Linked DNA regions of Arabidopsis thaliana. The protein of the gene in region 1 interacts with the protein of each later gene in a pairwise test. Each region holds a gene or a part of one and is shown on either strand. Other genes may lie near its edges.

Evidence for each region.
Region 2: the proteins of AT1G66300 (region 1) and STP4 interact in a protein complementation assay, tested with the Arabidopsis thaliana proteins (one large-scale study listed by BioGRID).

The regions. Positions count from the first base shown.
Region 1 is NC_003070.9:24,715,614-24,719,809, reverse strand, and holds AT1G66300 (F-box/RNI-like/FBD-like domains-containing protein), read left to right. Parts: upstream 1-1,759; coding exon 1,760-2,728; intron 2,729-2,802; coding exon 2,803-2,943; intron 2,944-3,052; coding exon 3,053-3,313; 3' UTR 3,314-3,445; downstream 3,446-4,196.
Region 2 is NC_003074.8:6,932,761-6,937,919, forward strand, and holds STP4 (sugar transporter 4), read left to right. Parts: upstream 1-1,807; 5' UTR 1,808-2,287; coding exon 2,288-2,420; intron 2,421-2,506; coding exon 2,507-2,826; intron 2,827-2,907; coding exon 2,908-3,537; intron 3,538-3,619; coding exon 3,620-4,081; 3' UTR 4,082-4,437; downstream 4,438-5,159. UniProt on the Arabidopsis thaliana protein: Mediates an active uptake of hexoses, probably by sugar/hydrogen symport. Can transport glucose, methylglucose, galactose, xylose and mannose, but not fructose.

The DNA.
Region 1 (4,196 bases):
GGTTCTGTTTCTGTACTTTCATTAATGTGAACTATGTTGTGTTATATATATAGATCGTAGACCATATGTTTTGCTTAAATCTTTCAATTGAACCAAAGATGAAAGATGTAATAAGGTTCGTGTAAGAGCCAAGGATTAAAGTTTTTAGCAACTCTTTATCAAACTATTGTTTTTTTATTCATTGTGGTGAATTTGATGCCTTATTGATCTTATACATGTTTGGCCTAAATGTGTAATGTTACTTCTTTTGACTAAAAGACATAGTTTTGCTCAACAATAATTCAGACGTTGAGTAGAAAAATATATAATGGTATAAGATCTGTGTAAAATAGCACAAGATGATTCAGTTTAACCAAAAATGGTATAATACACAAGGATTAAAGTTTCTAGAAACTCTTTACCATTACAGCGCTGATACCCAAGGATGATCAGATGAAAAACTAAACTATAACAGGTTTAGTAATCTGCATGTTAACGGGCAAGTATGATAATTCGGATTTGTAGAAATATTCCGAATTGGTAAAGGACCATATTTATATTCTGGTATTTCAAGTAACTAGAAATTGTTTTGAATAAATATTACGAAAAGGTTTTGATTTTTTATAGAAATATTAGTTTGAGAAACTTTCGATAATTCTATAAAACTTTTAGATAATTGAGGTCACTCTATTACTTTAACAACACACGTCGTATATATTTAGTTTGGTTTGTTTTTAGTAAATATGTAAATTATATAAACTTTAGTAATTTAGTGTTTATGTTTTCAGTATGACTAGAATTTAACCCGCGGTATACCGCGGAGACAATTTATTTTTTAAAGTTACTATATATAAAAGTTTGTAAATTATATTTATCTATAAAATATTTTTATTTTATAGTTTACGATTGTTATTAAGTAACGTCCTGTCAAACCCGTCCCGCCAATTCGTCCCGTAAAAAAAACTCACTGATTTTATTTATGATATGTTTATGAATCATTGTCTAAATATTTTTTAATTTTGTAGTAATTAAATGCTATCAAATATCTCTGCGGTTTGATGATTATAATCTGCGGTTTGATGATTATAATCGAATTATTATAGTCATGTAGAAAAACAATATCAAAAATGATAATTTTGTAGTAATTAAATGATATTAAATATTTCGAAAGTTTTATTTTAGTAACTAATCGTGTAGTTAATGTGGAGAGATTTTGGGAAGATTGTCAAATATTTAATTCAAAGATTTTCTTTATAAGTATCAAAAACAATTATTAAATGCCAGTGGCAGCCACTGTAAATAAATCCAAACTCCAGGATTTATTTCATAAAGTGGCTGCAAAAATGTATATATAAATATAAATTACATTTGTTCTCCGGTTATTCAATAAATAATGCAGATATTTAAAAAAAAAAAAAAGAGAACGAAGAGAAAATGAGTCATATGGGCCAAAAATTGACAAAAGTCATGTAGCAAGCAGACATTGTTTAGTCAGATGTTATTTTCTTAATTCTTTTTTAGTCTTAGGTTATTTGCATATTCCCTAATTTTTCTTTTGGTCGGGATTTGTTGGAAGTTTATTCAATATATAAACTAAAGCAGGTTTTACAAAAATGTTTATGTTTAGTAAAAAAGTTAAATATACTAATTTCCCATTAAAATCCATCTTTAATATTTGACCACAAACTGAGATATTTTTAAAAGTTAACGTCGTTTGTTTAACAGTTATCGTTTCATTTTCACCAACTCTATGCCGCTTTCTTCGCAATTTTGAAGTTACATGGACGAAGACGGAGAGAAACGTGTTCGTACCAAACGATTATGTTCTCCAGAATCTTCGGACAAAAAATCTGGTTATGAAGTTGATTGGGTAAGAGATTTGCCAGAATCTTTGATTTGTCATGTTCTCTTGAATCTTTCGACAAAAGATGTGATTAAAAATTGTGTCTTATCCACGAAATGGAGATATCTGTGGAGGTATGTTCCTGGTTTGGATTTGGATTGTAGTGATTTCACCGAATACAATACTTTTGTGAGTTTTGTGGATAGGTTTCTGAGTACCAACACTGAGTCGTACTTAAATAAGTTTAAGTTAGGATTCGATTGCGATCTTGTTGGGGATGAGGAGACTGGTAATGCTCAAATGGCGCGGTGGATCAACGATGTTGTCAAACGGAAAGTTCAGCATCTCGATCTTGAGTGGGGTGCATTGGAAATACCTCCAATAGTTTACGTGTGTAAGAGTTTGGTATCTTTAAAGCTTTGTGGTGTAATCTTACCAATTCCTGAGTTTGTTTGTTTACCGTCTGTGAAAGTTATAGTTCTAGATTGGGTTAAGTTTGCAAATGATTTGGCTTTGGAAATGCTTATCTCAGGCTGCCTAGTTCTCAAAAGCTTAACGTTATGCAGAAGTAACAATGACAATGTAAAAGTGTTACGTGTGAGATCTCAGTCTCTATTGAGCTTCAACTATAATGGCCCCAATACCATGGGTCCTGAATATGAGGAACTAATAGTTGAAATTGATACTCCCAAGCTTCAAGATCTAACGCTCTCTCACCGTATGACTGCAAGTTTCATAATAAAGAATCGGAGTTCTCTTGTAGGGGCACATATCAATATTGAGTTTAACTTTTGTTTTGGAGAGAAGTTTGATCCGAAGAATCTACCAAAGAGAGAAATGATTCGTAATTTTCTTGTCGGGATCTCTGGTGTTAAAAATATGGCCATCGCTGCATGTACACTTGAGGTAACGTTTATTGAATTCGCTATTTTAATGTTAACTTTATCCTGATCTTTTTCTTGTTTTTGTTGTTGTTGTAGGTCATTTATGATTACTCAAGATGTGAACCACTGCCCTTATTTCGTAACCTATGTCTCTTGAGTGTTGAGTTCTATGAGGACAGATGGGAAATGTTGCCATTCTTTCTTGAGAGCTGCCCGAATCTAAAATCTCTTGTCGTGGTAAGGATTGTTTACTTAAAACTTATGTACTTTCTTTGGTATAATAATGCAAATGGGGAAAGTATCATAATTACTCCAACTTGTTTCTTTCACTTGGTTGTAATTTCAGGGATCTAATAGATATAGAATGGAGAGAACTAGTATCATATCAGGACATCGATGTCTCTTATCATCTCTCGAGTATGTTGAGATAGAAACCCCATTGACAGGGGAGGTCTTTGAGATGAAACTTGTGAGTTACTTACTTGAGAACTCACCAATCCTCAAGAAACTCACTATACATTTGCATGATAATTCTAGAAAGAAAGCAGAATGTGAAATCCTTACCATTCCAAGACGCTCTAGCTCATGCCAAGTTATCCTTCTCTGATTCACGTTGACGAACATACTGTGAACTCTGTTGTCTTTCGGTACTTTTACTACTATGAACTATGTTGTGTTGTAGATCTGTAAGAAGATCATATGTTTGTCTTAAATATTTCAATTGAACCAAAAATGTAATAAGGTCCGTGTAAGAACCAAGGATTAAAATTTCCAAAAACTCTTTATTTATCTGGACTATTTGATTTTTTTATTCATTGTGGTGAATTTGATGTCTTGTAGATCGTAAGGAAAATTTATTTTTTGACTCAATGAATTGTTTTTGCTTAACAATAATAATTCAGAGGTTGAGTAGAAAAAGTATAATGGATTACAAAAAGGAAAAACAAAGCACAAGATGTTTGATGCTTCAGTTTAACTGAAAATGTTATAAGATTTGTGTAAGACCCTGGGATTAAAGTTTATAGAAACTCTTTACCAATATAGCTAGATGGTTAGATGAAACTAAACTAAAAACCGAATAAACCTAGCTCGCTTTCTTTTTTCCTTTTCTAAGGTTGCAAGAAGGAATCCAGTGTCGGACCAAATAGCTCCGCTTAAAGCAGGCAAGACAGCCAGTGCAACGATTCATAGACCACCGAAAGCTGTAGCAGGTGTAATATATCAGTTAACTTATTTATTTATTTTTTGCTAAACAAATCAGTTAACTTATTTAACACTTTTTCATTATTTTATGCTGTGCAAATATTGTTTATGATATATTTAAAGATATTTTCTCTGATATATGTTCAACTAGTAAAATAAGCGCATGTGTAAAACTATCAGCGAAAAGAAATGGTATGTTTAAAAAACGTTTCTAGCTACCACATCTATACTTTTTTGAGTAATGGTCATTCCACCTTCAAATGGAGTGTCTCGCTGAGTTGTTTGAC
Region 2 (5,159 bases), on another chromosome or scaffold:
GTTTTAGGCTGTATATGCCATACGTGATCTTGGATGACATGTCTTTTTTTCGAGATGATAACATTTATTAGTCGGTCGCTTAATTGATTTCGAGTTTTCTGTTGCCATTTTAAATACACATTTGCGTCAAAAAAAAAAACGAGTTTGCTGTCTCGAAAATAGCACCAATGCCCATTATTTCTTAATTGTATTTTTTCGGCTAAGGTTTCTAATTATTAATTTATTATCAAAACCTTACATATGGTAATGGTACACTGTACGAGTTTTTGGTTGTCTTGTGTTTTTCAATTTGTTCTTCCTCTTTATGTTTTGAGTTTTGTTGTCCTGTTTCATTTTATTCTTACTTTTGTTTTCTCTGAATTTTGTTTTCAGTGAACGTATAATTTAAAAATCTGCAATACAAACAAACAAATATCTAAAAGTCAAGTTGGCTTTACGCATGTGATCGACGAAACACCTAATTGTCTTGTTCTTTTTCATTCGTCTGAATAATTTCATGAAATTAACAAGACAAAGGTTCACATTTATAAAAAGGGAACGAGAGCAATCAAACTACAGAAGATCACTACATCAAAATAACGCATTTCTCAGATTCTCAGATTCAAACACATTCACCTAATTGTTTTGTTCTAGCTAGGCCTTTTAGCTATACAAATTTTGCATTAACATTACAATTTCCATCGGCATGTAAACAATTAGCACTAACTAATTAATTAGTACTGCAATATATCAAACATAAAAGATGGTTAATTAATTCAGTGTCAAGTTGCTGATCCTAATGAGAATGCAGTGCTGAGACAAGATCTGATGAGTCTAACAAAAATGTGACTAATTCAAATCACATTAATTACTGTATGTAGCAAACATAAGATTATATATATAATATATCACACCAATTTATATAGGGAATAAAACATATCCTTGTATGCAATGCATAACGTAGTTATTAATATAGCCTTACATGAATAACGTCGTTAAGATAACGATATGACACTATAATGACGAAACCTTATGGGAACATCATGAAAATAATGTAACGCGAGTTTTGACTTTCCAATGTAAACGAAAGGAGTAGAAAGCAACGGAAGACTACGAATGAAAGTATGGAGCTACGTATAGTTTACGAAATAATTAATTATACATATAGAAAAGTAGTGAGTCAACTTTTCTTTCCATCGTAATCAATAGCCCAACTGTTTACTATCATTGTTTGAAATATCCTCTGACACAGAAATGTTATCTTATAGTCAATTTGACGTACAATATGCTCTCTTAATAAAATCAAGAAATCTAGTTTTTATCAAAAACTAAATTTTGTCCCCATTCCATGGATAATGTTAAAACATTACATTCATTATAGATCCATGCATGTGAATGAAAAGGCTCACGGGTAAAAAGGTTATTAAGGTATCAATATGACCTCAAATTTTGGATAGATATTGAAGATTTCATACCACTTTTTTTAGTGTCAAAAGACGGAAAAGTAATAACTAAACTATACTACTTTTAAAAGTTTGAAAATTGAAAAACAGATTTTACACCTAATTTAAAATATCAGATCAAAGATCTTATCTACAAGACTAAAATTAAACTAGTAGCGGTCTTTGCTGTCCATTGACCGAGTTTTGCGGGTGGTTTACTCATTTAAGTACCACAGCATCAAATTAAAATAACTGTCACTTGTCGAAAGTGACTAGATAAAACCAAAAATAGCTTTAATTGAGTCAAAATTGTAGTTCTAGTGCAAAGTAAAGAGTTATCATCTTACAAAATGCGACTCATTAGTGTATTAATTAATTAATTTTCAGTCCAATAATCTGGTTAATTTGGTAAACTATCCAAAGAGTAATTAAATGATTCCTCGTCATAAATACTAATTTTCTACGTTTTAAGCAAAAAAGACAATAATTATTTGGTCTGAAAACTAAAAAAAGACACGAGATTAAGGGAAGAAGATAACGATCTAGAGGAATAGGCAAGTGGAAGAACCAGAACAACAGCTGTTCTTTTCTTCTAAACTTCAGAAGTCAGCCGACAGTTAATTTCTCCTTTTTTTGAGGTTTTGTCGAATCCTATAAATTTCAACTAAACTCTTCTTCATTTTCAATATCAAATCTTGTCTTCTTCTTCTTCTTCTTCTTCTTTTTCTTCTTCTTACATTTGATTTCTCTGTCTGAATTCGAGAACCAGATCTACTAATTACCTGAGAGAAAAAAGATCTGCTCTGTTTGTCTGAAACAGACAGAAGTCAACAAATCTTTCATTTGTTTTTTAGCAAATCAAAGAAATGGCCGGAGGGTTCGTCAGTCAAACGCCGGGTGTTCGGAACTACAATTACAAACTGACACCGAAAGTGTTTGTGACATGTTTCATCGGTGCTTTTGGTGGTCTCATCTTCGGATACGATCTCGGGATCTCAGGTTTTTTTCTTTTCTTCAAGTCTTGTTCTTCTTTGATCTGATCTAGGAATTTCCGGTGACTAATTAGGGTTTCTATATTCTTGTAGGAGGGGTAACCTCAATGGAGCCATTCTTGGAAGAGTTCTTCCCTTACGTCTACAAGAAGATGAAGAGCGCACATGAGAACGAGTACTGTCGATTTGATAGTCAGCTTCTCACTCTCTTCACTTCGTCTCTCTATGTGGCGGCTTTGGTGTCTTCTCTCTTTGCCTCCACCATTACTAGAGTTTTCGGAAGGAAATGGTCGATGTTTCTCGGTGGTTTCACCTTCTTCATCGGTTCTGCTTTCAACGGCTTTGCCCAAAACATCGCTATGCTTCTCATTGGTCGTATCCTACTTGGTTTCGGAGTCGGATTCGCCAATCAAGTAAGCTCTAAAAACTGTCTTTTTCCTTGATGAAGAAGTAACACTGGTGGCTTAGTTAACTGGTTTTGTTTTGTGTTTCAGTCTGTACCGGTTTATTTATCAGAAATGGCTCCTCCGAATCTAAGAGGAGCTTTCAACAACGGGTTTCAAGTAGCGATTATCTTTGGTATTGTGGTTGCAACGATCATCAATTACTTCACCGCACAGATGAAAGGAAACATCGGATGGAGAATCTCTCTCGGATTAGCTTGTGTCCCTGCAGTGATGATCATGATCGGAGCTCTGATCCTTCCCGACACTCCCAACTCTCTCATCGAACGTGGCTACACCGAAGAGGCCAAGGAAATGCTTCAGTCCATCCGAGGAACCAATGAAGTCGATGAAGAGTTTCAAGATCTCATTGATGCAAGTGAGGAGTCCAAGCAAGTGAAACACCCATGGAAGAACATCATGCTTCCTCGTTACAGACCACAATTGATCATGACTTGCTTCATTCCTTTCTTTCAACAACTTACCGGAATCAATGTCATTACCTTCTACGCCCCGGTTTTGTTCCAAACCCTCGGGTTCGGTAGCAAAGCTTCCCTCCTATCAGCTATGGTAACGGGTATCATCGAGCTCTTGTGTACCTTCGTCTCTGTTTTTACAGTGGATAGGTTTGGAAGAAGAATCTTGTTCCTCCAAGGAGGTATCCAGATGCTTGTCTCTCAGGTAACACAAACGCCTAACCCTAACCCTACTATACGTTTCTTAATTGGCACTCAATATCTCAAAATATCGGTGTGTATTACAGATCGCTATTGGAGCCATGATTGGAGTCAAATTTGGAGTGGCTGGAACAGGAAACATAGGGAAAAGTGATGCCAATCTAATCGTGGCACTGATCTGCATCTATGTAGCGGGTTTCGCCTGGTCATGGGGACCGTTGGGATGGTTGGTTCCTAGTGAGATATCTCCACTAGAGATCCGATCAGCAGCTCAAGCCATAAACGTTTCGGTCAACATGTTCTTCACATTCCTTGTGGCTCAGCTCTTCCTCACTATGCTTTGTCACATGAAATTCGGACTATTCTTCTTCTTCGCCTTCTTTGTTGTCATAATGACAATATTCATCTACTTGATGTTGCCTGAGACAAAGAATGTGCCAATCGAAGAGATGAACAGAGTGTGGAAGGCACATTGGTTCTGGGGAAAGTTTATTCCTGATGAAGCTGTCAATATGGGTGCTGCTGAGATGCAACAGAAGTCCGTATGATGATGATCAAGAATGAAGTTTTCTTTGGGCAATAAAGATTTATGAGAAAAGAGAAAGTGAATAATTCTTGGGATGAAATAAGAATAATTGTCAAAAATGCCTTACTTCCTAAAAGAAAGCTGCTCTGTCTTTAGCTTCAGAGACTTAGCTTTCATTGTTTCTTCTTTCTTCTTTTTTAATGTTTCTTTGTTGAAATTGTTATTTGGGGCCTAAAGATGTAAAAACAAAAAAAAGAACAAAATTATTTAAAAATGGTTTCTTATTTTACATTTCATTGAATCTTTATTTGAGAAAAATAGTGTTAACGCTTTATGCAAGAAACAAGAATAGTCATCACTCATCAATCGATATTCCAGTTTATCCTTACCATTTTTTTCTTTCCAATGATTGCGGTACCTCTTCAGCTCTTCTTTGCAACAAATTTTGTGAGAAAGTAATTTCACATTTTCGAAAACTGATCGTTTAATATAACTTAAAACTATCACTCATCTAGTGACGGTATTACAATTTCCCAAAAAAAAAAAGTTAGAAATAATACAAGTACTGATGTGCATCAGTGCATGGATGAATAATTGAGTACAGAGTCAAAAACTCCCGACCAAACCTAGCAGTGATATTACCTTTAAACTTTGATAGCATATATCAAACTGAGATTGACCTATGAATATGATGGCAACGAGCTCGTGGAAACTGGTAACTGAAGATTCTTTTTTTTTGTCTATTTGGTTTCATTGCCTGAAACTCCCTATAACGTTTTCCAATTCTTTCTTTCAAATTACGCATTGTAAATAACATTATTTTTGTTGAAAGATATTTAAGATTATTAAAAAATTCAAATTGATCTATATAGTACCAATTCTTTTTTCTGAATGTGATCATGAGAGAGTGTGTGTGTGTGTTTCGTTTTGTCAACGAATTATGAATTTGCTACGTACGTGACAAGTTTCTATGATTTTGAAAGAGAATTATGAATTTGTTACATCTTTCTATTTTTTGGGGTCCAAAATAATAGAAATAAAAAAAAGTCTACAGACAAAGAATATTATATGATCTGTATGTGAAATTGGAAAGATAAATA